Linked DNA regions of Arabidopsis thaliana. The protein of the gene in region 1 interacts with the protein of each later gene in a biochemical or structural test. Each region holds a gene or a part of one and is shown in the gene's direction. Other genes may lie near its edges. The genes, in order: PSBP-2 and DEG7.

Region 1 (15,027 bases):
TTATGGCTCAGTCACTCAATTATGAAGCGTTTCTGTAATGTCGTGATTTGAATTATATTGGTGGTAAAAAAGGAACAGCGATGGAGGAACCTACAACAACCAAACACTCTCAATGAGGAGGGAAAAATAGTTTCCCGAGAAAGTGAGAGAGAAAGAGAATGTTGGTGGTGGTGGTGGGTCTGAGTCTCTGTGAGTCTTTTGTTTTCAAATTTGAAAATCCCCAAATAGCTTTTGCGAGAGATGTGTGTGTGTGTGTGTGAGCTTCGATTTTGAAATGGCATCAAATTTCGAATTTGTTATTAAAAGATTCATAATTTCGTACGTTTTTACACTCGCGGGCGCGTGTGATCCTACGTGGCCCAATCCTCTTCATTCCTTCTAATAATATTTTTTAGCTAATTACAGTATCTGTGACTGTTAATGTGAGTAGTTTCTATTGAATCTTAGTGTTAGATTAGGACGAATTGATGTCTAAATGTTGATGTTTAGTGTTGAATTTTCTTAGATTGGGTTTGGTGTTAGACTATTCTAGTATTCTTGAACATTCTTATATTGAATTTAGATTGTTTGTTGCACTTAAAATGTTTGTGAATTTTTTTTGAACCGAACTTAATTGAGCATTTTTTTCATTTGCTAAAGAGAATTGATGTGAAGATGTTTTGTGAGCACAATGGAGTTTACTGCTATTAACCTATACTAAGTATCAATAGCTTTTATTTGTTTGTGAAAAAAAACAATAGCTTTTATTTGTCCTAGGAATTATTTAATAGATTAAATAACAGCTATTTTTCTCTTATTTCTTAGTGATTAAAATATTTAAAATACAGACCAAAATTAATTGTTTATGTTAATATATTTACTCCTTAATCCTTTATATTAAAATTGTATAATGCATGTAGTTAATAAATTGTTTTCCAAAATTCATTCATAATTTTATTCCTAAATTATTTTGGTCAAGAAAACACATCTTTGAATAATTAAATGCTTCCTTGTATTTGATAATTTCTTGATATTTTAAAATACCTTCTATACTATGCCAATGTTATTGGTTATAAATAGGTTTAACATTGATCCTGAAATATATCATAAGAAAATCAAAAGTGAAATAAGAGATCAAAATGATGAAGCTCATAGTTGTCTTTGTTATATCCAGTTTGTTGTTTGCTACTCAATTTTCTAATGTAAAAATTATTATTATTTTCTTCATATTATGATTTATGAATTCAGAGAAATAAAGTTTTTTTTTTTATGTGTGTATGTACAGGGTGATGAATTAGAGAGTCAAGCTCAAGCACCTGCAATCCATAAGGTATATTTAAATTATAAAATATCAAATACTGAATAATAAATAATAAATATATTACAACAAGAATATCAATGTTATTTTTCAAACTACATAATTTTAAAATATTTTATTGATAACACAAATGTATATTATTATCGTCTCCATTGATTTGCATTCTAAATTTGTTTTTGTTATCCAACCAATTTCAGAATGGAGGAGAAGGCTCACTTAAACCAGAAGGTAAATTGTTTAAAAGATATTATTTTTATTTATATAGTAAATGATTGATCAAATCACAACTTAAATAATTTAATTGTTGATTTATATTTTTCTGAAGAATGTCCAAAGGCATGTGAATATCGATGTTCGGCGACATCTCACAGGAAACCATGTTTGTTTTTTTGCAACAAATGTTGTAACAAATGTTTGTGTGTACCATCGGGAACATATGGACACAAAGAAGAATGTCCTTGCTACAATAATTGGACGACCAAAGAAGGTGGACCAAAATGTCCATGAAAACAAAAAATTGTAAAAGCAAAATAAAATCTATCGTTGTTATCTCTCAATAAAATCTATGTTTGTAATCCTTGTTTTTCAATATAGAATATAATATGGAGTTTTCATAATTTCTTCTATTACAAAATTAAAGTTAATGCACAAATAAATTGAAGGGACTTGGACCTTTTCGTGTAAGTTCTTTCTTTAAATCACGAACAATTTAGATTTATATTTTCACTCTTACAAACACAAAACATGGATGCTCTTTAACTCTCATCCAAACAAAATGCATTTCTCTCTTTCTTTTTCTAAACATTTCACAACAATATCCCATATTATATCTAAGATATATGATCTTTTTAAATTGAATTTATTTAGGCCATGTTTTAAAATCGTGTTTGGTTAGATTGACCCATGAAATGTTGACATATTTTAACATTCCTAAATATGACTAAAAATGATTAAAGATATTTAATAATATATTTGCTCTATTAAAAATGATTAAATAAATAATAATAAAAAGTATTTCCAAATAATTTTTTAAAAAACATGTATTTATAATATCTCCAAATAAAACATAATCATGATCAGAAAATCCAATTAAACACATATATCCATAAAAATTAAAATAGTTTCGTCAATTCAATGTTAAATCATTTTCATCTAAGTTAGGAATGAATGTTTTAAGTTTGACAAAGAGACGAGAAAACTTTAGAAATCTCCTCCCGTTTAATGAATCAAAATTATAGTCTTTGTACTTTTTGGATGATCTCCTAGGCGATGCTCCAGATCCGGATCGGTCCACAACAGTCCATCGTCTCACCTCGATAAGTTTGACAAGATCTCATTCATTCTCCTGGAGTTGGTTAGCATTCCAAACTACCATTTACCATCTATACATTTTCTTATACATTTTGTTACTTAACCTGCACAATTATAGTAGTTACGTCACTTTTTAGTACTTGTAAGATTTTGCCACTAGTTTATAGTATATACATTACATATAAGTACAATATAACATTCCTTACTCATAAGATTTTGCTTATCAACTACAGACATACATAGAAGTTGGAACATTTTTAGAGCCCAAAGGAATGGGCCTAGTATGCCGAAGCATTAATTTATTTTATTTTCATCAAAAAAAAAAAGAAAAAAGAGAAGGCGGTTTATAATGCCAGCAAACTCTGCAAGGGCAAAAACGAAACTCATCGAACAAATTTCGAGGCTTTGCTTCTTGAATCTCACAAGAAGCCGTACAGTTTCTCAGCTTTCTAGTGTTTTCTCGGGTAGAAGAGAGATAGAGAGACAGAGCAAAGCCTAATAAGCGATGGGGAACAAGAGATTCAGGTCTGATAATAATGCAGGGAAACCAACTTCCGTCGAAGCTACTAGGATTTGGGCGACTAAGGTCATCGAAGACTTTCGAGCCTCTGGGAACGAAGGTGAATTTAGCTCCGGGAAACCAAGTCTTCTCCTTTGGATTCTAATTGTTTCCTTCTCTGACCGATTCTTTCCAGAAATGATTTTATGAGTCTGAGATTGATTACATAAAGCTCTAATCTTTGGGAATTTTATTGAATTTTGGTTGCATTGTGTTCTGTAGTTTACACGTTTGAGCATAATCTATCAAATAACGAACGTGGAGTGATTCATCAGATGTGCAGGAAAATGGGTATTCAATCGAAAAGTTCTGGGTGAGTTAGTGTTTTTGGGTTTGAGAAAGTATTCATTTTTATTGTTTCTGATTCTGGGGGATGCTTTTAATAGGCGTGGGGAACAAAGGCGTCTTTCGATATTCAAAAGTAGGCATAAGAATGGAAACAAGAATGAAGCTAATGAGAAATCAAATAAAGAGAAGCTCAAATGTGTGTCATTTCCGCCGGGAGCAGATGTTATTCTGCAGGAGTTATTTACTCATTACCCACCTTGTGATGGAGATACGGCTGCAACATCGTTTACCAAGTACTCTGGTAACAAGGGTAAACAAGGACAATGGAAAGATGATTTTTTCCGGAAACCACAGATTAGCAGTGAGGAGATTCTAGAAAAAGTGGCATCTTTGAGTTCTAGACTTAAGAAGGATAAAGCTCTTAAGGAGGTTAGGATTAATACCCTGTTGCTGAGATGTGTGTCTTTTGTTTGAAAGGACTGTAATTTATGATTCTTTATCCGGAATACAGATTGAGAAGTTATAAATCATGTCAAGTATCAGCAAGTGAAAGGAAATTGTTTTTTGTTGATTTATGTTACAGATCACTAAGCTGCGGTCAAAGCTTCCCATCACATCCTTTAAAGACGCAATTACATCTGCAGTGGAATCCAATCAGGTTCTGTGAAATTTTTGATATGTTCTCTCTTAGAATTTACTAATTGTATGGTTATGCTTGCTGTGGTGATTTCCACTGCTTGAAAAAGAATTCATCATACATTCTTATTGTAAACGCAGGTTATTCTCATTTCTGGTGAAACTGGTTGCGGGAAAACTACTCAGGTGTTTGTTATCCCTTGTTTTTCGGTAGTCTAGTAGAATGATCTCCTTAGAAATTTTGCTTACTGTGAGCTGCGATTGTGATATTAGCCATGTAAAGAGTGTTCAGTTGAATTTGCGTTCAATATTTTCATTCTCGAGGTTTCTCAAGTGCCTCCATTGTTTAATGTTTTAGGTGCCTCAATATCTTTTAGACCATATGTGGTCAAGCAAAAGAGAAACTTGCAAAATTGTTTGCACCCAACCTCGTCGGATATCCGCCATGTCAGGTTGACATTTTTTTATTCAGCTATGTATTTGTGTTGATCTTTTGAAATTTCAAGTTTATCCACATGTACGCTGTATAATGCTTACCCCTTACTGTCTTTTTATCCCTCTTTTGAAGTTTCTGAAAGAATATCTTGTGAAAGAGGTGAAAGCATTGGAGAAAACATTGGTTACAAGGTTAGTAATCTTTGTAGGTAGACATATTTGCGTTTGTACATGAAAGGTGATTGTGTTTCAATATTGTAGACAAGTGCACCATTGACTTTATATGTAAATCTCAGGTTCGACTCCAAAGCAAAGGTGGAAGGCACTCATCAGTTGTTTTCTGCACGAATGGTATTCTCCTGAGGGTGCTTGTAGGAAAAGGCTCTGTTAGCAGTGTTTCCGACATAACTCACATCATTGTGGTACTTTACATATTTCTTATCTGCTCTGCTATCATGTGCCTATTACGTGTGTGTTTCATATGTATGATGAGTATTATCGGAAAATTAAATCGCTTGTCAACTGTCACTATGAAAAGCCTTCTTGTTGCTGTTTGTCATCCCAGATCCTCTACCTTTCACTTTGGCTTTAAATTTAATTCTGTAGCTTTCTACATTGATCAGTGCGTTCATGTCTTTGTAGGATGAAATCCATGAAAGAGATTGCTATTCTGATTTCATGTTGGCAATTATAAGGTAGACATCCTTGCTCTCAAACGTTGAGGTTCTCAACTTGTCAATTGTCTATTAATCAAATCAAGTGTATGTGACCTAAGAAACTGATTTTAAGGCTATTGTTTAATGCCGCACCATAATTTATGTGCTAAATAATAAACTGGTACACATGTATTTATCTTCTCTTAAGCCGCAAACCATGAAAGAAGATAATTAATTTACTTTCTTTGAATGTATGATATAACTCATATGAATTTCTGATGCTTTTGTTGATTTGCAGGGATTTGCTTCCATCAAATCCCCATCTCCGTCTGGTTAGTTAAGCTTTATGTTCTTCTTGCTTTTCACTGCAATGGTACACTTATAACAAGAGAACAAAATGAAGAAGGATTGGCTTTGTTTATGTTTCTTTTCGTTTACTAAATAGAAGAGGGAAGCGGATATATTAGAGGGGGTGACTCTATACGGCCTTGTTACCTCTGAAAAGAAAGGAAATAGAGTAGGTTTTGTATTTTTAAAGGTGTCTCCTTCCCTCCGGTATTAGAAATTAAAAGATGACACAATACAAGTTACAAAATAGATTTCTTTCCTGCTATTTTTGTGTGTTGGCGAAGTGACGTTCTTAGAATTTTCAAAAAAGATACTTGGTCGAAAGACACTGAGAACAAGTGAACTCCGACAAAATTGTGTACATAGCCTAAGAACCTGAGATAGCTGGACTTGATGGCTTGGTAAACGTCTTTGAATATGGCCTGACTACAGTACTCTTTAGCTGATTTTTTGAAAATTTCTGGACCAATAGATTCTCATGAGTGCTACGCTTGATGCTGAGAGATTTTCTGGATATTTTGGAGGTTGCCCGGTTGTCCGTGTCCCTGGATTCACTTATCCAGTTAATTTCTCTTTTTCTCTCTATATCTCGAATATGGTAATTCTTTTATGCCCAAATATAATCTCCTTGCTTTGTGTCTACAGGTGAGAACCTTATATTTGGAGGATGTGCTCTCTATTCTGAAATCAGGTGGAGATAATCATCTAAGCTCTACCAACTTGAGTATATCAGACCACAAGCTTGATTTGACGGATGAGGATAAACTTGCTTTAGATGAAGCAATCATCTTGGCTTGGACAAATGACGAGTTTGATGCCCTCTTAGATCTAGTTTCTTCTAGAGGAAGTCATGAGATCTACAATTATCAGCACCAATCAACCTGGCTAACACCACTAATGGTCTTTGCTGGAAAGGGCAGGATCAGTGATGTCTGCATGCTCCTCTCCTTTGGTGCAGATTGGAGCTTAAAGTCTAAAGATGGTATGACTGCATTAGAATTGGCTGAAGCAGAGAATCAACTAGAAGCTGCTCAAATAATCAGGGAGCATGCAGACAATTCCCAGTCTAATTCTCAGCAAGGACAACAGTTACTTGATAAATACATGGCGACAATCAACCCAGAGCAGGTCGATGTGAGTCTTATACAACAGTTAATGAGGAAAATATGTGGCGATTCAGAAGACGGTGCGATTCTTGTTTTTCTACCTGGATGGGATGATATAAATAAAACAAGACAGAGATTACTTGAGAACCCTTTCTTTGCAGATAGTGCTAAATTCGACATTATATGTCTTCACTCAATGGTTCCAGCAGGGGAACAGAAGAAAGTTTTTAATCGCCCCCCTCCAGGTTGTCGCAAAATTGTGCTTGCGACAAATATTGCTGAATCAGCAGTTACCATTGATGATGTGGTTTATGTGATAGATAGTGGCCGGATGAAGGAAAAGAGCTATGATCCTTATAATAATGTTTCAACTCTCCAATCTTCTTGGGTATCAAAAGCAAATGCAAAACAGCGTCAGGGTCGAGCAGGCCGCTGCCAACCTGGCATTTGTTATCATCTCTATTCTAGACTTCGGGCAGCCTCTATGCCAGATTTTAAAGTTCCTGAAATCAAGAGGATGCCGGTAGAAGAACTCTGCTTACAAGTACTGCTCCTCATTTAATTTCTAGTTAATAGCAATTGGTTCTATGCTGTGAGCCGTTCGTGCGTATGCAATCTCTTACTGATCATTGCCCTTTGATTACATTCTCAGGTTAAGATACTTGATCCAAATTGTAAAACAAATGATTTCCTTCAGAAACTGTTGGACCCGCCTGTTGATCAAAGTATTGCAAACGCCTTAAGCATACTACAGGATATTGGTGCCCTGACACCTCAGGAAGAGCTGACAGAACTTGGAGAGAAATTTGGTCATCTCCCAGTTCATCCTCTGATTAGCAAAATGCTATTCTTCGCTGTGTTAGTAAACTGTCTGGATCCAGCACTTACTCTGGCATGTGCAGCAGACTACAAGGAACCATTTACGATGCCCATGTCGCCTGTTGAAAGACAGAAAGCTGCTGCTGCAAAACTTGAACTTGCATCACTTTGTGGAGGTGACAGTGATCACCTTGCAGTTGTTGCTGCCTTTGAGTGCTGGAAAAACGCAAAAGGAAGAGGTCTTTCAGCAGAGTTTTGCTCTCAGTACTTTGTCTCTCCAAGTGCTATGAAGATGTTGGATCAAATGCGTAGCCAACTTGAGTCGGAACTTAAAAGACATGGGATTATTCCTAACGACATTTCAAGTTGTAGCCAAAATTCGCGTGATCCCGGTATACTCCGTGCTGTGCTAGCAGTAGGATTGTATCCTATGGTGGGAAGATTGTGCCCAGCTTTTGGTAATAATCGAAGAACTATAGTAGAGACTGCTAGTGGTGCTAAAGTTCGTGTCCATTCGCTGTCAAACAACTTCAACTTGTCGTCTAAAAAGTATGATGAATCTTTACTCGTTTTCGATGAGATCACTCGTGGAGATGGAGGCATGCACATAAGAAACTGTACTGTTGCTCGTGATCTTCCTTTGTTACTTATCTCAACAGAGATAGCTGTGGCCCCTACAGGGAGCAGTGATTCTGATGATAGTAATGAAGAAGAAGAAGATGATGAAGAAGTAGCAGCTAATACTAATGAAGAAGTAGCAGCTAATACTAATGAAGAAGGAATGGACATACATAAAGAAGAGAGTAGGCGTGGAGCGAAAATGATGTCTTCACCTGAAAATTCAGTCAAGTTAGTAGTTGATCGCTGGCTGCCTTTCAGAACCACAGCCCTTGAAGTTGCTCAAATGTACATTTTGCGGGAACGACTAATGGCTTCTATTTTATTCAAGGTGAGTTTAGAATCCATTATGCTTAAAACTACTCCATACTTTTAAGGGTTCTTTTATTTGATTTGATTTCCAACTGTTTATTGGCAATTTGTAGGTAACACATCCACGGGAACATTTGCCACCTCATCTCGGAGCTTCTATGCATGCAATAGCTGGTATTCTCTCATATGATGGTCATGCAGGACTTTCATGTCCACCGGAGTCTATGGTACCAAAACATTCAAGGACTGAGATGTATGATACCGGTGGATGGGAAGAGAAACCAAACTCTTTCCTTAACTCACTCTTTTGGTCTCTGAGTTTGAAAGAGAACAAGCATCCTAGTCACACGAATAGGAATCAGCAGCATAACTACAACATGGCTCCAACAGAAGCTGCATCAATACCTAGGCAGCAAAACTATAAGCAAAGAAATCCCAAAGCAACCAACAATACCGATTCGGGTAAGAAGAAAGAGAAGATGTTTGTTAATCCCACCAATAGGATTAACCAGCCTGAAGCTGCTTCTACGGGTAAGCCATCAAAGCACAAATCAGCCAACAGTTCGGGTTCGAGTAACAAGAAAGAGAACATGCCTTCTGATCAGGCCTATGGGAATAAGCAACATAACACAGTTCCAAGAGAAGCTGCCGCACCAATGGCGAAGAATCAAAGCAGTAAGAAAACCAAGACCAGGTCAGGCAACAACTCGGATTCGGGTAAGAAGAAAGAACAGTATATTCCAAAGAGGCAACGCGAAGACAAAGCAGAACAGAAGTGAGATGCATGAAAAGAGATTGTTTTTGGTTTTGGGTTTTGGTTTGGGTTTGGGTTTGGGTCCCATGAAAGCAGAGGAATTGATGATGTATAAACAATTCATGTTTGGATCCATGTCTCTTCGGTGGTTCTTGGCTCAAAGTGTTTCTATTTATCTAATCATGAAACGGAGTTTTTAACGGTTTCATGTTGCTCTAATATGTTCCAGAGTATTGTAACTATTGTTGTTGTTACTCATAAAGCCTCTTCTAGCAGTTTCATACTTTCATTTTACTTCCAGTGAGATCAAACACGTCGAAATTCATTCAGACCAGTAGGCTCACAGCCACGTGGCAAGATGGAGCACTTATACAACCTTATCCCGACATCCAAACAGAAGATTAGATGCCCAAAAATCCAAAAATTAGCCAATAAACAACTCTTTTCTTAAACTCCATATTTACAAACAGTTTCATCACTTTGGTCTTCAGGTTGCAACAAGAAAGAGAAAAAAAGAGAATGGCGTACAGCCCGAGCTTCTTACACCAGAGTGCACTTGCCTCCTCTGCCGGACGATCATCATCTTCATCTTCATCGTCGTTTCGTCATGTGTCCCTCTCGAGACCCGTCCATTTAGTATGTAGAGCTCAACAGTCTCAGGAAAACAATAACTCTGCTGTTTTCCGCCGTCTTGCCCTTACCTTACTCGTTGGTGCTGCAGCCATCGGATCCAAAGTCTCTCCTGCGCCGCCTATGGTGAAGCCGGTATGATCCCACTTTCTCTATATACATTTTGAGCATATATCAATGAGAATCATGAAGCAAATCTTGATTGTTGTTTTGCAGCTAATGTGTTTGGTAAGCCAAAGAAGAACACAGATTTCCTGCCATACACAGGAGAAGGATTCAAAATCCAGATCCCATCAAAGTGGAACCCAAGTAAAGAAATTGAGTATCCAGGACAAGTACTAAGATTCGAGGACAACTTTGACGCCACCAGCAATGTCTCTGTCATGATCACTCCTACAGACAAGAAATCCATCACTGATTACGGTTCTCCTGAACAGTTCCTCTCTCAGGTTTCACTCTGTTTTTAAAGCAAAAACGGTTCAATCAGACGATAATCACCACAACACAGCTGATGATAGGTTTCTGGTTTCTGCAGGTGAATTATCTCCTCGGGAAGCAAGCTTACGTCGGCGAAACAGCCTCTGAGGTAATTTCCTTTTCTAGTTGGTGAAGGAGTTTTTGGGTTCAAACAAGAACCAATACCTTAAAGAGTGTGACTGATCATTTTTGCAGGGAGGGTTTGATGCAAATGCAGTAGCAACTGCAAACATTTTGGAAACATCTACACAAGAAATCGGAGGGAAAGAATACTATTACTTGTCGGTTCTGACAAGAACAGCTGATGGAGATGAAGGTGGGAAGCACCAACTGATAACAGCCACTGTGAATGGTGGAAAGCTTTACATTTGCAAAGCTCAAGCAGGAGACAAGAGGTGGTTCAAAGGAGCTAGGAAGTTCGTTGAGAATGCTGCTACGTCCTTCAGTGTTGCTTGATATGAATCATAAACATTAATGGAACGCTCTGTTATCTGTTGTCTTCTTCCTCATTGTCCATTGTATAAATAATGGATCAAGAAAAGAAAACAATCATTTGATATCTATAACTATTGTTTATCTTTCTCTGATCGTTAAAGTACTGCAAAGAATTGAAATGACAAGGAAACAAAAATCTTGATAAAATTAAAAGATCCATGGCTTATTCGTGAGAACTTGTAAATTTAGTAACTGAGATCCCAGTGACGTCTCACTATACTGAAACATCATGTGTAGCTGAGCTATCTGTTTTCCTCAAATTTACAAACAGGGCTCAAGCCTAAACAACAGAGCAGTATGTGGATGTAAGACTGTGATAGCCTAACAACAACAAAAATTAAGTTACGACAATCTGGAAATTTAACCCAGGGGTGGCAGAAAGAGAAACCCGCTGCAACATCGGTCAGGTTTCTCTTCAAGGAAATAACTTCACTTGGCAGAGCCATCAAATAGGAAGAAAATCATAGCTCTTCTAATCGTATCGGCAAACACAGGTAAGACGTCCAGATAGAGCAGGCACTGTTCTTCATGGATCACAGAGAATTTGTTTTACCGAGGTTTCTCATCTGCCAACAGGATCAAAATCTGCCATGGAAATTTCAAACCCTGCCTGTAACATGTACAACTATGGCAGACTAGTGATGGTTGAGTCACTCATGACGGAAAAGAACTGTGGACTAGTCTTATCCCAAAACCCCTAATGACGGATTATGGAAGCATATCCAGCATCTTTTATTCAGCCTCATGGGGGACAGTTCTACAACCTGATTGCTAAAAAGGGAGACCAAAGCTAAGCACAACTCCCTGGTAAGTCACTATAAACAGGAGACTTGTGAAAACGCAGAAACAGCACTAACCATTTGATACTCAGTTTGGCCAGAGTTCACACTTGATAAAGACACTGAACAAATCGAAACAACAGAATTCTTTGTGCAAACTGAAGTGCATCTAAAGCCCACGTTTCAGCATCTTTCCCTTCACTTTCTCAGCATCTGACTCCATTCCATGGTTTTTATAAGCTTTAATCATAATGGCGAACGTTTTAGTTACAAGCCCATAATTGGTCTCTGCCATCTCATTTACAACACCTTCCATTTCTTCAAAGCGTTTTTGGGATCCATACATCATGATCTTACAGTGGTAGAGAGATCTGCATAGTTTCCACCCAGCAGACTCAGCACGCTTGACGAAATTAGCAAGATTGTCAACTTCATTACACCTGAAGTAAGCTGCAATGATTGCTCGCATGATACTTGACTTATTAACACATGTCTTCTGCTCAAATGCCTCGTTGATTTTACTCTCCATTGCTTCCACAAAGTCTTCTTGAGCATATAGTCGAATCAAAAGCACATTCAACCAAGGAAGATATTCCTCCCCAGAGAGAAGACTCAATAAATTTTCAATCTTTTGGACTCTATCCTCAACAGCTTTCTTACAATATGCACAGATCATAGCTCTGACCAAAGGACCACTGTTTACACCAACCTGATCTTTAATCACTTCATACATTTCTTCCATCCTATTCAAATTCCCAGAATTTGCATACCCACGAAGCATTAGCTGATAAGTATCTGTGTCAGGCTCAACTGGACCCCTCTTCATTTCTTGAAAAGTAGCTTCCATTTTATCCCAATTCCAGGCAGTCATGTAACCCGCAATTAGAAAGTTGTAAGTGACAGAATTAGGAGGAAGCTTCACTTTTTGTAACTCTTCAAAAGCTGCTTCCATATTCTTTACCATCAAAAGTCGACCATAAACAGATACTAGAATATTATATGTCACAACGGTCGGCGCACAATGCGTTTGCCTCCTGAAATCTTTAAAAAGCGACTGACATTCCTCAGCAAGCCCGTTCCACATGTAAACACTCATCAAAGAATTATAAACTGAAGCAGTCTGCATTCGTTTCTTAGCCGCCTCATCGAAAAGATAGACTGCAAGGTTAATATCCCTAGCTCTACCCGCAATTTTGATTCCTTTAGCATACTCCTCCGATGTCAAGGGGATACAATAATCCTTTTGTCCTCTCCTCCACTCTAAAACCTAAACATTAACATAACATCAAAAACCTACGAAACAAACTCAACTAATCTACAGTGATGCTAATAAAGATTCAAACTTTATAGACTACAAAAGATCAGGGCAGTGGCAAGAGTCAAACTTTATAGAATTCAAAAGATAGAAGAAGAAAGGAAACCTGAAGAGCTAAGTAATGACGAGGAAAGAGTTGATCCATAAGCTCTAAGATCCCAGCACCATCACGATAAGTTCTAAACAACCATTGCCCTTTCTGATCCAAAACATTTTGGAACTTCTCCTTACTGTTACCAATCGTTAAAAGCTCGTCTTTTAAAATCGAAACTCTTTGGACCAAATCAGTGTGATGAGCTGGTAAGCTAGTTACTCGGGTGAGTTTGCCGATAAATTGACTGCCGAGTTTCACAAAATTTGATGCCATGAATTACGAATTTCCTTGGAGCTGAAGCTCCGGGGATTACTACTAATAGACAGAATCGGATCTGAGGATCTGCAAATTGTGCAGAGACCCCAAAATTAGGGTTTATGGTAAGTACTTAGGAGGAGAAGAAGAAGAAGAGTGATAATGGGCCTGAGGCCTTAAACTTCGGTTAAGTAGACCGGTGCATCAAACCGTATGCTAATTGTACTTGGTTTACGGTTTACCCATTCACAATTTTAAAATTAAATTGCATTTTTCCTATGTATTTTAGACTTTAGAGAACCTATATTTTATTGGTAAATATGGTTTTTGATATAAAATAATTTAATCATATTAAATGTAAGACTCGGTAAATTTACGATTTTATAAATTTTTACAAGTTTTAGCTAATTGGATTACTGATTATATAGTTTTTTTTACTGATTACATTTATGCAACTCTAAAATGCCTTAGTTTTTGAACCTCACTTTCTACTTTCTCTCTTATTGGGAGGCTCTCCAGTAACCATGTTTTATGTTTATATATTCGTTGGGTTCACGGTCACAACCCTAATATTGTGCTTAGCAAAATTTGAATTTGTCTCTTTCCAGTGTTTCCATATTCAACGTTGTTGAATATTATTAAGATTTTATGTTCTTGCGCACACCAAAATGTGTCTACGTCAACGTGGGCTCGCGAGGTCTCTGAGTTGAAAAAAAAAGAGATTTTCTTCTCATATTTTTTAGAGAGAAAAAACAACAATAGACCATGTGTTGTGACACACCTCCACCACCTGCTTAATTTGGCACTAAATGGATTTAATTTACTACTCGTCACTTCAAACCGGTGCCGACTAAAAAGCTAACATTTATTTTTGTCCGAAAACAGCAAAAAAATGCTACCAACAATTTCAACGGATGCTAAACTTTTGGCGCTTATACACCATTATGCATTATAATATATATATATATATAAATATTCCAAAACATCTTGTTTCTATTCAAAAATTTGTAAAAACTCGATAAATACTTTGACGTGGTTACCCCAAAAAGAAAAAAAAAATACTTTGACTCAAAACAAAGATAATTCTTTTATATTACAAAGGACATTTACATATAAAACTGGATTAAGGGCGTACAAAATAGCAACCAACGGTAATCTTAACATTATAGTAAGAAATAGTCTCGCAGATTAAAACCTATATATATCACCTCCGATCCCATGATGGAAAAGTGTTTCTGTTTTAGAATATGCATATGTAAAATAAAATAGTGAAATTAAAATTACTTTTTTCAACACTTAACAGATGTAGGCATTTCAAATTTTGAATTTTACTGCTAGCAGAAAATATCCAAAACTTCCAGTACTATTTTTGAAATAACTACATATATACAAAAGATTCTTACGTTATAGGAAGATATAAAACTAAACTCAATTACTCAAACATGTTAGTAATAATAAGATTCATATATCTGACTTTTTGATATTTAAAATTTTCATTGTAATTGGTAACATATAATTTTTTCCTTTATTTTTATAATCAGAGGGTGATACAAATTTTATCGCTCTACTAATCCTCCCAAGGTTAGTGTAACAGTCGAATACTTCATTCACCAAATTTCTTAGTAAATCTTAAAACAACTCTACTGTTAAAACAGAAAATTTTCCAAATTGAATAAGTAAACGAATAATCAAAATTTTCATTTACAATTTAAATTAAGATTTTTTTTTTTTGTAGAATATATGAAAATACATGAGCTAGCTATTTGTAGTTGTGAGGAATTTGAGATTTTTGAAGTTTGGCTGACTCATTCAACAACTAAGTAACATTATATCGGGTCGCATT
Region 2 (16,297 bases), on another chromosome or scaffold:
CAGGCCGGATTCAAAAGCAACCAGGCCAGTCCATTACAAAAATCCTATAACCTTATATAGGACTAATGGTAACCAGAAAAAATTGACCTCGTCAATCTAAGACTTATTCAAAACTGAAGAACCTTACAATTTTGCATTTTAATGTGTATGATCTGGTCTCCACCAAATGCATATAGGTGATGTAGAGATATGACGCTGCATATACTTTACATGCACATGCATTTCGTTTATATATGTATGCTTTATATGTGTTATTTTTTGCAAATCTTGAAATCAAAAGACATTTCCCATTAATCATAATAATCATGATCATGATGAAACTTAAACCTCTGATTCTAGTCTTTTTCTCAATGTTCCTCGTGTTACACTATCTCACTAATCAAACCAATTCCGATTCTTACCTCGGAGGACATACCGGAATTACAACTCCGTTGCGGCCACCACCACCAAGAAAGACATACTGCAGCAAGTCATCTTCATCTCCACCTCCGCCGAAATACATGTATGTAACCGGTGTGCCTGGGGAACTCTACCGGACCGAGCCAGATGACCAATGGGGATATAATTCTAGTGTAAACCGAAATCTGGTTAAGTGTCTCTTGGTTATTGTAATTGTGGGGTTTGGAGTTATAAATTTGTGAAAACAGACAGCTATTGTTTGTGTAAGCAATTTTATGGGTAGCTCTAAAATACGGTGTTTGCATCGTAATATATGTATGTTCGAATTGTTTTCTATATTATTATTTTTTAAAATCGTTCCTTTCGGGAAAAAAGTGAAAAAAAAAATGCTAAACCGTGATAAAGAATGTCAAATTTCCTTGTTTTACTTAGTTATCAACGAGTTCAAAAGATTTCGATTTTCACTCACTCAGTGATCCATTTAGACCAAACCCGAAGCCCAATTTTACTTAGTTAATTTGATAGTGGAGTTCTTGCATGTCTAAATTGGGCCTCACAGTCCCACCTTGATATCGGAAAAATTATCTGTTGAGCTGAAATTGAAATTGGATTTTCCGTTAGGTTTACCTGGTATTGAAATTAGAATTGAATTTTCGGTTAAGTTTACCTGGTATTGAAATTAGAATTGATTTTGGTTTCGGTTTACACTGGTTAAGAGAAGAAAACAAAAACAATTGCACGCGATGGGGATTTCAGAGAGGAGTGCGTAGATTAAAAAAGGCATGATTTCCAAAGGGGTACACCCACAGAAGTGCTCTCACGCGCTCAACGCTCACTTTGTGAGAGTGGGGGTGAAATACAGCCTTCTGATTGGTTGAAAAACTCTAAAAAAAGTGAAATAGTATACATGTTGCTAGCTCCATATTAGTTTTTCGTCTTCTTCTCTCAATCTGATGAAAGTTGTTGTTTTTAGGTACAATTCATTCTATTCAAAACAATTTTGACGTCTCTCAATCCCATTTTAGATACAATTGATTCTATTTCAGGTTTTGGGGTTATTTCTCAAATCGATTCCTGTCACCAAAATCAAAATCTGAAAGCAAATGGTTGATGAGGATCACTTGGAAGATTTTGTCTGTGTTTGACTATGGAGTTGCACATAAATGGTTAGGGATCAGAGGAATAAGTTGACTCAGGAAGTTTCTTCTGCTTTCAGCGGCAAGCTCAACATCCTTGTAAGTTCCCTTCTCATGCTAAAGACATTTGTTGTTTTCTATGCTTTTTTTATTGAATTTTCTACACATTGGAATCTTCACCAATCTTGAAATTCTACATATCACATTAGCTCGTATCCTTGCAAGTTTCTTATCCGATAGAACAATCTTCGAACCATTCTGCCACACTTTTATCAGGTTTCTATATATGTTTGGTCTTAGGATTGAATGGTTTAGACTTTTGGTGGTTTTGCCTCGAATGATCAGCTATCTGTCTATTCCATACATGTAATGTGAAGGCTTACGGTTTTTTGTTGAACCATATAGTGATGCTTGTTGATCTCATGTAAGTTTTCCATCTATTAGGCAAGATCTGTTATATGTTAACATAGTTAAGATTACCAGCACCGGAGGAAATCGCGTCACTGGTTGCTTTTCTTTGCCTTCCTGCAGCCTCCTACACTACAAGACAGGAAGAGCTAAAAGCATGCTTAAATGATTGCAAATCCAGTGGTTTAGTGGTGTCTGGTTCGGTTAGAGATCAGAGGGATAAGTTGATTCAGTGGCAAGCTCAACATTCTTGTAAGTTCCCTTCTTCTGCAAAATGCTTGTTAAAACTGACTCTCTAGTTTTTTCTCAGCATTGTGATCAGAATCGTCATTGATCTTGAAATAGTTTATTGCATTAGCTCTGCATCCTTATAAGTTCCTTCTCCATCAAAACATCCTCATACAAATCTATTTGCTGGCTACGCTTTTGTCAGGTTTCTTCATTAGGTTTGTCTTAGCCTTGAACGGTTGAGATTTGTGTTGGTTTTGCCTTAAATGCTCTGTACCTTAGTTTTATGTCGTTTCATCATCATATTTTTTTTCTTGCAGAAATCCAAGGCATCGGATGCAAGTGAGGAAACTATCAATGTACTAAATTAATTGCATAAAATCCGTAGGCCATACAATGGTTTGCTTGGTGACATATGATTATTCAATGACTTTGTGTGCAGACTACATTCGATATCAATGTCTTTGGGACGATAACTCTTATAAAGTTGGTCACTCCTCATATGCTAAAACAAGGAGGCGGTCATTTTGTTGTGGTACGTGGAGACTAACGAGGGATAGTTTTTGTTAAGTGCCCTAATTTTGTGGATTTGTTGAAGGATTGAGCTTCATATCATAGTTTATGGATATGGATATACATTGCGTTTTTTATATGTTAAATCTAAGGCTTTTAAGCTATGTATAGATAGTTTAAGGTTTCTTTTGTATTTTTGTCTTCTGCTTGCTAAATTCCAAATCATGTTACCGTATACACATCTTGAGAAGTCAAACTACGGTTAGCTATTCTTGTATGTGTTAATTTTCCATTTCCTTGGGTTAAATGTCATGATTAATAATTCACGTCAGTCTATAGATAAGCAGTGCTGCAGGAAAGGTACCATCACCTGGACAGGCTATATATTCTGCTTCAAAACATGCTCTGCACGGCTACTTCCACAGCTTGCGTTCTGAGGTATGTTAAAAGTTAAAGAAACTGTGGTGCTTGCTAATTATTTGGCAGCTAATGACTTATTGAAAGTCACAATAGAAAACTCACAGCTACCTCAGAGTTTTCTGATTTGATTTTTTCTTTTACATTCCTTTTCACTAATTGCTGAGAATAGCACCATAAAGTAACAATTCACAGTTGGTTCACAATCTGCCTATGGTTTCAGTTCTGTCAGGAGGGAATCAAAGTGACCGTCGTTATTCCTGGTCCAATAGAAACGTTGAATGGTACAGGAACATCAACTTCGGAAGACAAGAAGTCTCATGAGGTTGGTTAACTGATTGTGATTTGTTGATTAAGTTGTCAGTTTTTTGTACTTGTACCTTTCCTTTAAGCAACTAATCAGTCTTGTAGACACATAGAATCCTCTTCCTTTTCAACATTAGGATCTTCTATCTCCGGCTTCTTTCTCTTTTTATTTCCACTCAAAGATCTTTTCTTTTGCTACACAGAAGCGTGTGTCATCTGAATGATATGCAGAACTGACTATAATCGCCGCGTCTCATAGCTTGAAGGAAGCTTGGATTTCATATCAGGTACTTGTTTGTCAAAATCGCATATGTTTCACTCAGTTTAGATGCTGATATACGATCTTCTTTTTGCTATTTATCAGCCAGTACTGCTTGTGATGTATCTAGTGCAGTACATGCCTTCCCTTGGCTTTTGCTATTTAGTTTCTTTGCGCTCAAGAGGTTTTCAGATGCAGCTACGAGATAAATCGGACTACTGTATATAGTAATCCAACAGGCTTTTGAGCCCAGTGGACTTGAGTTCCTAGAAAAGAAAAACCGAAAAGAAAGTTATGTGATGCGTATATTGAAGACTAATGAAAAGCTTTTGGGGATTCACTTGCTGCCAGAAACTCACAGACAACACTCCTGCCAAAGCTGTCACAAGGCTGATCACTGTTCATTCTTTCCTTCTCTGCAGATATGTGCCGGCAGTAATTTAATTTTTGGTAACTGCTTTCTCCTTCTTCTCCTTTACTCATTTCCCCTATATTTCCTTCCTTTTATCATCATTATATACAAATTGGTAAATATCATTTTTAGATTGTGATCTTCGAAAATTTATTATAGATGTCAATAGATCTAAAAGTTTATACAAGAAGAAAAGGTGAACTCGGAAACCGAAAAGATGGAGAAGGAAAGTCAGGAAAACTCGACCAGACCCGATGCTTCGTCTACTGTTTTCTCTTCCTCTAAGGTAATATCTCTCTATAATCCAAATATCCAATCCTTTTTCTCTTATGTGGGTGATGCGATATTTATACAAATTGCAGAGTACATGCGCAAGCCCTAGCTATCTCAAAGAAGCTGGAGACTTGATCAGTAGGTTGCCTGATGATATTCTCCAACTAATTCTCTCCTATCTTCCAACCAGATTGGCGATCAAAACTTCCGTTTTATCCAGGCGATGGAGGCATGTATGGTCTGATACATGGTCCCTCTCCTTCCATAGGGACAGACCGGATGCTCCTTGTATTAACAGAATCCTAGATCGCTACAGGGCTCCCAAGATGATGAGTTTTCGTATCTGTTCTTGTTGCAGGGCAGCCTGTATCAGCAGACCCGACACGCATGCTGACATCGACAGTTGGATCAACTTCGCCATGTCCCGAAACGTGGAGAATCTGTCCCTGTATCTCGATGAGGATAAATATGATATCCCTGAATTCCTTTACATCAATTCCTCTCTCAAGCAACTCTACCTTGATTTCGGCTGCAAAAAGGATTTTATATCTCTGAATCCCAAATGTTCTGTGTCTTGGACATCCCTGAAGAACCTGTCATTGTATCATTGCAACATCTCTGATGAATCCATTGCTATTATTCTATCTGGTTGTCCCATTCTCGAAAGCTTATTGTTGTTTTTCTGCAAGAAACTGAAGGTCCTTGATCTCAGCAAATCACCGCGTCTGATAACATTAGAAATCACTCGTAGATGTCGAATGGAGCCAACACAGCTCGTTGCACCACATATCCGTTGTCTCAGATTGATAAACTCTGAGAAACCATGTGCTTTAGTTGATGTCTCCTCTTTATCCCAAGCTGAACTAGACATTACCGCTTACGCAATAGTTGATAATAAACTGGAGGCTGATTTTCATCAGACCATGGTGGTAAAGATGTTAGAAAAGTGTCAGAATGTGGAGAAGCTTACTTTGGGGGCAAACTTTCTTAAGGTATATGTTTTCACTCCTGATTTAGTTTACATAATTAGGCTCTGATTTTCAAGAAAACTAGTGTGTTTTTTGGTATACACTCATTTGTCTTCTGTTTTTTTTTGTTTGTTATAGATGTTATCTCTTGCCGAGCTCCGTGGTGTTTCTTTTCCAAAGTTGAAGGCTAAAGCTCTGATACTTGAGACAATGATCTCTCGATATGTTATTCATGGTATAGTAAAGGTGCTACAAAACTCGCCTGACTTGAAGAAGCTAACCATACACCCAATGGGGTCTGCCGGCTCATATCCCATACCGGTAATTATGAATATTCCTTGACCCCGAATTTTGAATCATCATATTGAAATATACTTGCATTACAGGAAGAGCATATTGACATATACTTGGATTCTCATGGCTTGAATTGGGATCCATCCTGGAGCTCGGAGTTTAAGAACACTTCCCGCAGGAATGTAGAGTCAAAGCAAGTGGCTTCGTTTCTGCAACTTGTGCTTAAAACCATATCAACATTAGAGTTGATTGTCGCAAGGTTGGAAGGTTATATCAAAGGAAGACGTTTTGTAGAGTTGCGTCAGATGGTTCCAATGCTTCCTCGCAACAACGATGTCTCCATTGTGCTCAGCTCAAGAAGAAAACGATTCAGAGTGACTTAAGTCATTTTACATTTAAGTAGTACACTAGATGAAAATCTCTTGTTTGTTTTTCTTACTGAAATAATCGAATTCTGTTAAATTGATTTTAAGTTGTGAAATTGTTTTTACGTTTTACCATTTCCAATCTACTGGCTAACCTCGGAAAAACGGTCTAGTGAGCGAGCATTGCCTTGAGAAACAGTACCCGCCAAATCCAGCTCTCATGTACACAGTTTGATATTATTTCTTTCCAGTACTTTTGATTCAGCAACAGAGAGTTCTTTTCGGGCTATGTAAGAATCAATTTGCATTGTCTGCAGCCTATCCGGTGGGGAGCTGAGCCAAGGAGCAAGATTTGCTCCATATCCATTTTCTTCAATTCTAGTTATGCATGCCTTGAGATCCACGTACCTAAGATAAACAAAGAATCAGTCAGAGGTGACAAACCTAGGACAAAAGAAGTTGCGGAATCGAACAAATTTTGGCCTAAGGAACAGAAGCAAGGCATATCAAATATCACAAGTCTCAAGGTCTTGGATCTCTCTGAGAACAATCTTGATGGATCTCTCCCTTCATCTCCTGGGATACAGGCATGAAAGAATCTCTCGTAAGTTCATCTTCGCTTTTGCGTTTCATATACAGCTTCACTATCGTAATACATAACTTAGCAGTGAACTGGAAGAATTCAAAGCAAGGTCTTGCCAACAATAACGTCTGCCTCTACACTCTGATAGACCTCTCCATAACAAGCTATTCGGAGAAATCCCATATTCTTTAGGCAATCTCAAAAGCTTAAAGCTTTTAAACCTCTCATACAACGACATCTCTGGATTGATCCCACAAAGTTTTGGAAATCTTGAGAAGGTAGACCTTTCACACAATAACCTCTCAGGCGAAATCCCGCAGAAACTATCCAAGCTCAGTGAGCTGAATGTATGGAGTTGAGCAACAACAAACTTATAGGTAGAATCCATGAGAGTCCTCAGCTAGACAGATTGAACGATCCGAACATTTACGCAAACAACAACAAAATATGTGGAATGCAAATCCAAGAACCATGCTCGACACAGACCAAGCAGCCAGAGAAGCAATGTTTTCATGGAAAGCTGCAGTCATAGGTTGTCCTTGTGGAATTCTAATGGCAGTTGTCTAAATGTATATGGTTGGCTATTTCAGAGACTCATCACCACCACCAAGGCGATCTCTCAAGAACAGATGACTGAAGAAATCAAAATCTCTGTTTTTTTTAAAACGAAATGGAAGATTATTCAGATGCTGTAACATTGAAAAATAAAACAGTCTGTTAGCAATCCCTATGAAGTGATGTTATCAAGAGAGTTAAACAAAGTAAATTGTCAAATCACTTTCCAAAAAGTTGTATTTTGATCCTCTGTTTTTTACTCGATGAAAACAGAATCGTTTAATGTAAACATTGGCAGCATATAACAAATTCACAAAAATCTGTGTCTTTTTGGTGACATCAAGGATTTTAAGATAACAGCAGAGATTTGTTAAGCAAAAAGATTGTTTAAACAAGAAATATCACCTTCTTGCGATGACGATCAGTGTGAGACATATATTCCAATGGAACACGAGCACCCCTAGAAAGCTTTGAAAGAACAGATACTAAATCTCCAAGACCGGAAATGTCCTCATTAGCAACCTTCTTTATGATACAAAAATGGTTGCAGATACAATTTCCATCTTACTTATCCTCACTCCTAAACTTAACAACTGCATACAAGTAGCCAATGCACAAAGTAATATCTAGCTACTTTACTATACCCAAGAGGGATCTAGAATGTCAATTGCATAGAGTCCATGGTCATCATCAGGGACCAATACTTCAATATTATCATCCAACGGCTCTGTATAACCTGCCAACAAAATAACATTCAAGTTCAAGATCTGCTTCATAACTCACTTTTCTAAAAGTCCATAGTCAAACACAGACAAAATCTTCTAAGTGATCCTCATCAACCATTTGCTTTCAGATTTTGATTTTGGTGACAGGAATCGATTTGAGAAATAACCCCAAAACCTGAAATAGAATCAATTGTATCTAAAATGGGATTGAGAGACGTCAAAATTGTTTTGAATAGAATGAATTGTACCTAAAAACAACAACTTTCATCAGATTGAGAGAAGAAGACGAAAAACTAATATGGAGCTAGCAACATGTATACTATTTCACTTTTTTTAGAGTTTTTCAACCAATCAGAAGGCTGTATTTCACCCCCACTCTCACAAAGTGAGCGTTGAGCGCGTGAGAGCACTTCTGTGGGTGTACCCCTTTGGAAATCATGCCTTTTTTAATCTACGCACTCCTCTCTGAAATCCCCATCGCGTGCAATTGTTTTTGTTTTCTTCTCTTAACCAGTGTAAACCGAAACCAAAATCAATTCTAATTTAAACCTAACCGAAAAATCAATTTCAATTTCATATAAGAACTCCACTATCAAATTAACAAATCATATAAACGTAAGTCTTTAAGTATAATATTTTTATTAAATCGCGGTACAAGCCTAGTCAGAATATACTGTTTTATTTTTTCCAAAACATAAATTATACTATAATTTCATTTTGTCTTAACAGATATTTAATTTCATTCTATGTGCTATACTCTAATACTTAACAACTAATCGGAGCACTAAGAATATACTAATAAAAATCGCTTAGAAAGGCAAAACAAATTACTATCATCAGATTTCTTCCCCAATCTTCTTCTTCATATCCTTGAAGGAGAGAGTATAGAGAATCCGATCCAAAAACCCTAAACCCCATTTCCCGCGGATTTTCTCCCAAGCTGATACGGAGATCAAATGGGAGATCCGTTGGAGAGGTTGGGTTCTCAGGCATCAATGGCTACTGAGTCTGTCATGAAGGAGGACTTGTGTTTAGAGATCGATCCTCCCTTAACTGAATCCGTTGCCACCGCTGAAGATTGGCGTCGTGCTCTCGGTAAGGTTGTTCCCGCCGTCGTTGTACTCCGCACAACGGCTTGTCGCGCCTTTGATACCGAGTCCGCCGGTGCTAGCTATGCTACTGGTTTTATCGTTGATAAGCGACGTGGGATCATCCTCACCAATCGCCATGTGGTTAAGCCAGGTGCGCCTTTTGACTTGTTGAGAAACGAGTGTCAGAAGATTAGCTGGGTTTCAAGAATTCATAAGAGATGATGTTATTGTTGTGGAACTGTAGAACTGATCATGGTTTTTCAAAGTATTTGTTTTTGGATTGTTCGATTTTCCATAGGTATTAGTTACATGTTTATCTAGAATGGCTTAGCTCGATATGGATATGGAGATTATTTGGTCATTCCTTCTGGGTTTGAGTAGACAGAGAATCTCTTTAGAGTTCAGTAAAATTGATTTGTAAATTCTTTCTTCTTACGTAGGCCCAGTAGTTGCTGAGGCAATGTTTGTGAACCGAGAGGAAATCCCAATCTATCCTGTATACAGGGATCCGGTAAGTCATTTCGGTTTATGTTCGATCAAATGAGCATGCATCTGCAGGAGCTAGAATTTGTGTCTCATCTTTTTATGTTTACTTTTCTCCCTTCTCGACTTGTCCATTGTCATCAGGCTGACATTCTTTGGTATTCTTTTCAGGTCCATGACTTTGGCTTCTTTTGTTATGATCCCAGTGCTGTACAGTTTTTGACTTACCAAGAAATTCCTCTTGCCCCAGAGGCGGCTTCTGTTGGACTCGAAATTAGGGTTGTTGGAAATGATAGCGGAGAAAAGGTAAGATACATAGGATGGCGGATTACTTCATATTTTAGACTGTATTTTTCAGTTTCATGTTATAAAAGCAGTCACTTACTCAACTTAGCTCTCAATTTAAATTTTGATGAGGTCAGAACTGTCTATCTATTGTTCAAGTTATTCTGTCAAATGTCAAACTTAGGGTGCAAAAAAAAATGCATTTTAATATATGTTTGGTGCATTAAGACGCATTTATGGATAAGTAATGCTTCTGGTAACTGGAGTGTTGATTTGCAGGTTTCCATACTGGCTGGTACTCTTGCGCGGTTGGATCGGGATGCTCCACATTACAAAAAGTATCTCTGCTTCACTGCTCATGTTTTTTAGTTCTGCTTATTCCTCAACATGAAAATTTGTTTGATGTTACTTGATACTTGCATGAAATCTTCGTAATTTCATATAGGTAGTAATTGTTGAACTAGTAATATACCACCGGTACCTTTTATAGTTTCTTATGGCTACCTGCTTTGTAATTTTTATTTTATTTTTTGGTGCAGGGATGGTTATAACGACTTCAATACGTTTTATATGCAAGTAAAGTGACTCTGTCCTCTTTAATATTTATTGCTTTAAATTTTAGTCACTAACTTATTTTGAACTGAATTGCATGCTGTCACTCTGTGTCAAAGCCTTGTTTTCTCTTCTTAGTCGTGTCATGCTTATGGTTAATCCCTGTTTCCACAAAAATGTGTCTCTTACTCGTATTTACTCTAAAATATCACGAGTCTACCACTAGGGTAAAACTTTCCTGTTTGTAGCTTATTGTGCAATACACAAGTATGTTATGCTACTGTTATTCAAAGTGTAAACCTTACACATACGCTACTGTTTGTTAATATGGTATCTGTGTTTATAGGCAGCATCAGGTACTAAAGGTGGTTCAAGTGGTTCTCCCGTCATTGATTGGCAAGGCAGGGCAGTAGCTTTGAATGCTGGCAGCAAGTCGTCAAGTGCATCAGCCTTCTTCCTACCACTTCAACGAGTGAGCAATCTCTGTTTCTCGTATACTTGTATCGATGGTTCAGTTACGACTAGAATCGAGATGGTGTAACTTATTTAGTCACTGAAATAACCCCTGTAAATTCAGAACATTAGATTATTGTGTAGCTTCTGCTTCTGTCAAAGTTAAGAATTGATAAGTGTATAAAGCCTCCACTAGAGGGTTGTTTAATGTGCTTGGTATTCCGAAAAATAGTTCATGCTGGAAGTGTGTACAATGTTACGAATAAACTACACATCTACTTCAGATCTCTTCTTTTCATGTATGGGATCCTGAGAATCTAGTAGGAAACACTGGGAAAGTCAGACATGGTTCTGGATCTCATTTTTTTTGTTCTTTACAAATCATTTTGTATTTCAACCCCTATATTAATTTGAAGTTTAGTTAGAAATTTGCTTAAGACTTTTGACCAAGAATGGTTCTCTTGTTTGGAAGGTTGTTAGGGCGTTAAGTTTTCTCCAAAAAAGCATTGACTCGCGGACGGATAAGCCAAAAGCAGTTCATATTCCTCGTGGTACACTTCAGGTTTGTTTTTCCCTCTCTGATTTTTGAGACTCTTCATAGTGCCGTTACGAAAATTTCCGCGAATATCAACTTTTGACTCTTTTTTAAATAGCTGGGTTCAGTTTATTGTCTGAAAAACTACACATACCATTACATGTACATGGTATGTCAATTAAATGTATGCGATATGAATGTTGTGTTCAAATCCTAGAGGGAAAATATATACGTTGAAAATCGTGAATATTACTTGATATCTGAATGACCATGGAACTTTGATCTGGACTACTGTGGCTGGTGATAGAAAGAATATCCTTGGGATCTGAAATAGTTCATGGTTTAATTTCTATTCACTTTCCAACGATTGTTAGATTTGAGATTCAGAGGAAGTTCAATATCTCTTACTTAATTATTAGTTCTGGGGTTTTCTTATGTAAGCTTTTATCTGTTTTCTTGTGTACTTTAGATGACATTTCTTCATAAAGGATTCGATGAGATACGGCGACTTGGTCTCAGGAGCGAAACTGAACAGGTACATACTATTCCTTCTTACCATCATTTAGGGCATCAGCTTTCCTCGTGATGCTCACTAACACCTTACAAAATGCTATCTCTTGATCGTGTAGGTGGTTCGACATGCATCTCCAACTGGGGAAACAGGAATGCTTGTTGTCGATTCTGTGGTGAGTGCATTGCTTTATTAATAACATTCAATACAATAATTATTTTCAAAGAATATGGCTATTGTTTAAGTGATGGTTAAATTCGAAACTTTTTATCCTAAATTTGATATGTCGTGATGGTAGGTGCCAAGTGGCCCTGCTGATAAACATTTGGAGCCGGGAGATGTTCTTGTTCGGGTGAATGGAACAGTAAGTTGTCTTGATTGCATCTTCTTAGTGAGAATTTAAATTTTTTTTGCCTCAAGTAATCGAGAATTGTGATATCTTTTGCGGCAACATTAGTAAAGAAACGTATTGTTTAGAGATTGGTTATTACCTGGCCACAGAACGTATTAATCAGTGCACTTAGATTGTCTAGTTCCTTTTTCCTCAGTTTGCTAAATCTTCCTTTATGCGTTTGATTGTTATTACAGGTGCTCACACAATTTTTGAACTTGGAGAATCTGCTTGATGACGGTGTTGGCCAGATACTTGAATTGGAGATTGAAAGGGGTGGACAACCACTATCTGTTAGTGTATCAGTGAGTTCCATTCTTCTATTTCTAACTTTGGTTTTATGTTCCTCGTAGTCTTCTAGGATCTTGTGTTTAGTTTCTGCCCTGTCACATACTGACTAGAAAAGCAGGAGACTATGCAAAGACTAGAAGTAAAATATATGTAGCCGTCTCTTCTCTTTTATTTTGGTCATTAAATTTGTTCTTGTAGCTCTTTTCGTTTCCCCTGATAGATGGAGTTCCTCAATACTTAATTTGCATTTAGAATTCTGCCTTAATGTGATTTATACTTCCTATCTATCATAAAAATCAAGAGCCTTATGTGTTTGTGTATTTCCTGCCACAGGTACAAGATTTACACTCAATCACTCCAGATCACTTCCTGGAAGTAAGCGGTGCTGTAATTCATCCGTTGTCTTATCAGCAGGTAACTTAACTATGACTTGAAAAGATATTATCTGGAAATTTCTGTGCCTGCATGCATGATATTCTTGTGTCGTACAGGTGGAACTGTTGTGTTTAATTATGGCTTGTAACTATTTAATGTTCTATTAGTTGGAGAATCATATCAACATGCTAGATATTTTATTCATAATAAATGCTGTGGATCCACTTTATCCCCCACACTGTCTTGCTAGATCTGATTATGGAAGCATAACTAAGTGAAATAGTGATGTGACTACACTACCTCCTGCTAATAAAGAAGCTTACACGTATTTCACTGACACTTTCTTATTGGCATTAGCTGATCTTAAAATATTGTGATTTAACAGGCTCGCAATTTTCGTTTTCCTTGTGGCCTGGCTTATGTTGCGGACCCTGGGTAATTCCCTCTACTTCCGCCATCAAAATTTTCACGTTTTCTTGATTTATTTTTGACTGATGTGTCAATATTCTGACATGTGAGCTTATTGTTAATGTAAATGATTACGTGTCTCTGTATTTCTGGATTTACTTTGAAGAGCTCTTTTCTATTCAGATACATGCTATTTAGAGCTGGGGTCCCTCGACATGCTATCATAAAGAAGGTTGCTAATGAGGATATTTCCAGTCTTGGAGACTTAGTATCTGTTCTTTCAAAGCTTTCTAGGGGTGCTCGTGTTCCATTGGAATATATGTCTCACACTGATCGTCATCGCAAGAAGGTGATATTTCTTGTTTAAACAATCTTTTTGCTTAACTTCCTAACCCACTGTAAGCATATACTTGTCAAAATTTGATGCTAGCATTTATATATGATATTTTCTTAGGCTACTCCATATCAGCATCTTCATTCTTGCAAACAGTTTGTTGATTCTGTGATAATATTACCTCTCTACTCGGTGTTCCTAGTGTGTGAAATTTTGTGCTACTGCAGTGCTGCTAGATCTCTGTGATCACTTTTTACGGAAAACCGTTATCTTTAAGACTATAATTTTCACAACTGTGGATCTTTTTGCGTTAGCAACGTTCCTGTTATTAACATGCTTGCTTGTCCACGTTTCGTTTTGAACTCTATGTTAATACTCAAACGAGAAGTACTTATTGTCGGGTTCCATTCCTGCAGTCTGTGTTAGTCACGATTGATCATCATGAATGGTACGCTCCTCCTCAGTTGTATACCCGTAATGACAGTTCCGGTTTATGGGATGCGAAACCTGCAATTGAACCTGCTTCTGTTTCACCATCTATTGGTAATAATGGCTTTCCTATAAGCCAAGATATTTCTCTATGCCATCACGATACGGAACCCATGCATGAAGTGAATGTTCGTGGGGTTACTGATATTGCAGCGATTATGGAAACTTCTAGTGGGGATGGTTCTCAGAATGATTTTGGCTCAGAAGCAAAGAAACAAAGAGTTGACGAGGATTCTTCAGATGGGATTGCTGCAAACGGTTCCTTATATGGCAGTGAATTTAAATCTGATGATGCAATGGAAACAGATACTACAGTTTTAAGAGACTTCGAAGGTGCAACAGCACTGTCTGCTAATGCTTCATTGGCTGAGCGTGCTATTGAGCCTGCACTTGTCATGTTTGAGGTAAAGACGAAAACTTCTCTCAAAGTTATCAGTTTCACCAGCTGTTGAAATTTAATACTTTTTATGTGGTGTGCTATTTCTCACTGTTTCTTTTTTGATTCTTAGTAGTCAATTGATTTTTCATTCACAACATTTGATAATACTTGAGTAAGTTTGGGTGTATCAGTTGATTCAATAATTTGCACAGAAGATGGGTGTGTCACTGAACGTACCTGTATAAAATAGTATACAATGTTGACTTCAAGGTTCAGAGTTCCTACATCATCAAAGAGTACAATTTGATAACACAAAGTAGTTACTTAGATTATTTCTCAAGAACATGTTAGATTTGGTAACTACTTTTACAAGTCTGATAGATAACAATCTATGGAGGCTACAAGAAAACCATAGATGTATGACCTGGTGAACTGAATTACTATCTTGGTTAAATATGTTTCTGGTATATGCAATTTTAACTATTTCTTTATATCGTTTTTTTGGTAAAAAGTAATTATACAGTAGTTCTTATTGTGATTCAAGGCAACTTGCATCTGTTGAATCTAAGTTCTCTTATACAGGTTCATGTGCCACCATCGTGCAGTCTTGATGGTGTACACTCACAACATTTCTTTGGGACTGGCATCATTATATATCATTCTTCTAACATGGGGCTTGCTGTGGTGGACAAAAACACAGTTGCGATTTCTGCATCTGATGTTATGTTGTCCTTTGCTGCTTTTCCAGTCGAGATTCCTGGAGAGGTAATTTCCCTGGGAATCTTATAGTTCATGGAAGGAAGTGTTAGAACTGATCTTTCTTAACTGAACTGCAGGTAGTATTTCTTCATCCCGTTCACAACTATGCTCTGATTGCGTATAATCCATCAGCAATGGATCCTGCCAGTGCTTCAGTCATTCGTGCAGCTGAGCTACTACCTGGTATGTTGTTAACCATTTGAAAGTTCCATCGTTGCCTGTTTGGATATCACCATCTAACAGGTGATTATACTTGTGTGAAAATATGACTTAAAAGATTTATATATATGCTCTATGGCTATTGCCTGAACAGAACCTGCACTCCAACGTGGAGATTCAGTCTATCTTGTCGGATTGAGTAGGAACCTTCAAGCTACATCAAGAAAATCTATTGTAACCAATCCATGTGCAGCGTTAAACATTGGTTCTGCTGATTCTCCCCGTTACAGAGCTACTAATATGGAAGTAATTGAGCTTGATACAGGTAAAGAATTCGGAGCTTTTGACATCTTTTTTTTTTTTGGTAAACCAGAGCCTTTGACATTAAATTTAGTTATTTTAGACTTGTTCAAATCACACTTCGTTTTTTCTTGTTTCTTGTAGATTTTGGTAGCTCATTTTCAGGGGCGCTGACTGATGAGCAGGGAAGAATTCGGGCTATTTGGGGAAGTTTTTCGACTCAGGTTCGTCTTCCCACTTTGCAGTTACCTAATTTTTGTGTTTTTTTCTTTCTAACATGCTACTCTTGTGAATTGATCACAGGTTAAATATAGTTCCACTTCTTCAGAAGACCACCAGTTTGTCAGAGGTATCCCAGTATATGCAATCAGCCAAGTCCTTGAAAAAATCATAACCGGTGGAAATGGACCAGCTCTTCTCATAAATGGTGTCAAAAGGCCAATGCCACTTGTTCGGATTTTGGAAGTTGAATTGTATCCTACTTTGCTTTCAAAAGCCCGGAGTTTTGGTCTGAGTGATGAATGGATCCAAGTAAGCCATTTGTTAATATATTTTGTGATATTTCTGCGTAGATTGTTTATTATATCAATATATGTCTTTGTGCTTAGAATCTTAGTCTACTAAAATTAGGCATTCTCAAATCCGTTTACTATATTGATTG

Evidence for each region.
Region 2: the proteins of PSBP-2 (region 1) and DEG7 form a complex in vitro, tested with the Arabidopsis thaliana proteins (one study listed by BioGRID).

What each region holds. Positions count from the first base shown.
Region 1 is NC_003071.7:13,114,722-13,129,748, reverse strand, and holds PSBP-2 (photosystem II subunit P-2), read left to right. Parts: upstream 1-9,549; 5' UTR 9,550-9,904; intron 9,905-9,985; 5' UTR 9,986-10,152; coding exon 10,153-10,218; intron 10,219-10,304; coding exon 10,305-10,355; intron 10,356-10,441; coding exon 10,442-10,702; 3' UTR 10,703-10,812; downstream 10,813-15,027. Other genes in the region: AT2G30810 (Gibberellin-regulated family protein), read left to right, coding at 1,119-1,181, 1,265-1,309, 1,495-1,525, 1,623-1,804; HVT1 (helicase in vascular tissue and tapetum), read left to right, coding at 3,114-3,228, 3,390-3,480, 3,554-3,884, 4,039-4,113, 4,233-4,277, 4,450-4,543, 4,660-4,718, 4,823-4,948 and 6 more; AT2G30780 (Tetratricopeptide repeat (TPR)-like superfamily protein), read right to left, coding at 11,690-12,787, 12,942-13,202.
Region 2 is NC_003074.8:790,923-807,219, forward strand, and holds the start of DEG7 (DegP protease 7), read left to right. Parts: upstream 1-8,577; 5' UTR 8,578-8,797; coding exon 8,798-9,083; intron 9,084-9,372; coding exon 9,373-9,443; intron 9,444-9,586; coding exon 9,587-9,721; intron 9,722-9,979; coding exon 9,980-10,038; intron 10,039-10,239; coding exon 10,240-10,276; intron 10,277-10,598; coding exon 10,599-10,724; intron 10,725-11,177; coding exon 11,178-11,267; intron 11,268-11,709; coding exon 11,710-11,775; intron 11,776-11,869; coding exon 11,870-11,926; intron 11,927-12,049; coding exon 12,050-12,115; intron 12,116-12,339; coding exon 12,340-12,447; intron 12,448-12,766; coding exon 12,767-12,847; intron 12,848-13,193; coding exon 13,194-13,243; intron 13,244-13,399; coding exon 13,400-13,565; intron 13,566-13,966; coding exon 13,967-14,443; intron 14,444-15,000; coding exon 15,001-15,183; intron 15,184-15,254; coding exon 15,255-15,360; intron 15,361-15,490; coding exon 15,491-15,661; intron 15,662-15,780; coding exon 15,781-15,860; intron 15,861-15,939; and 2 more. Other genes in the region: AT3G03350 (NAD(P)-binding Rossmann-fold superfamily protein), read left to right, coding at 306-637, 959-1,069, 1,571-1,634, 1,776-1,811, 2,006-2,195, 2,454-2,530, 2,614-2,706, 3,024-3,122 and 2 more; AT3G03360 (F-box/RNI-like superfamily protein), read left to right, coding at 4,583-4,584, 4,710-5,343, 5,458-5,640, 5,706-5,996; AT3G03370 (uncharacterized protein), read right to left, coding at 6,501-6,672, 6,783-6,961, 7,522-7,641, 7,761-7,852, 7,926-7,959. UniProt on the Arabidopsis thaliana protein: Probable serine protease.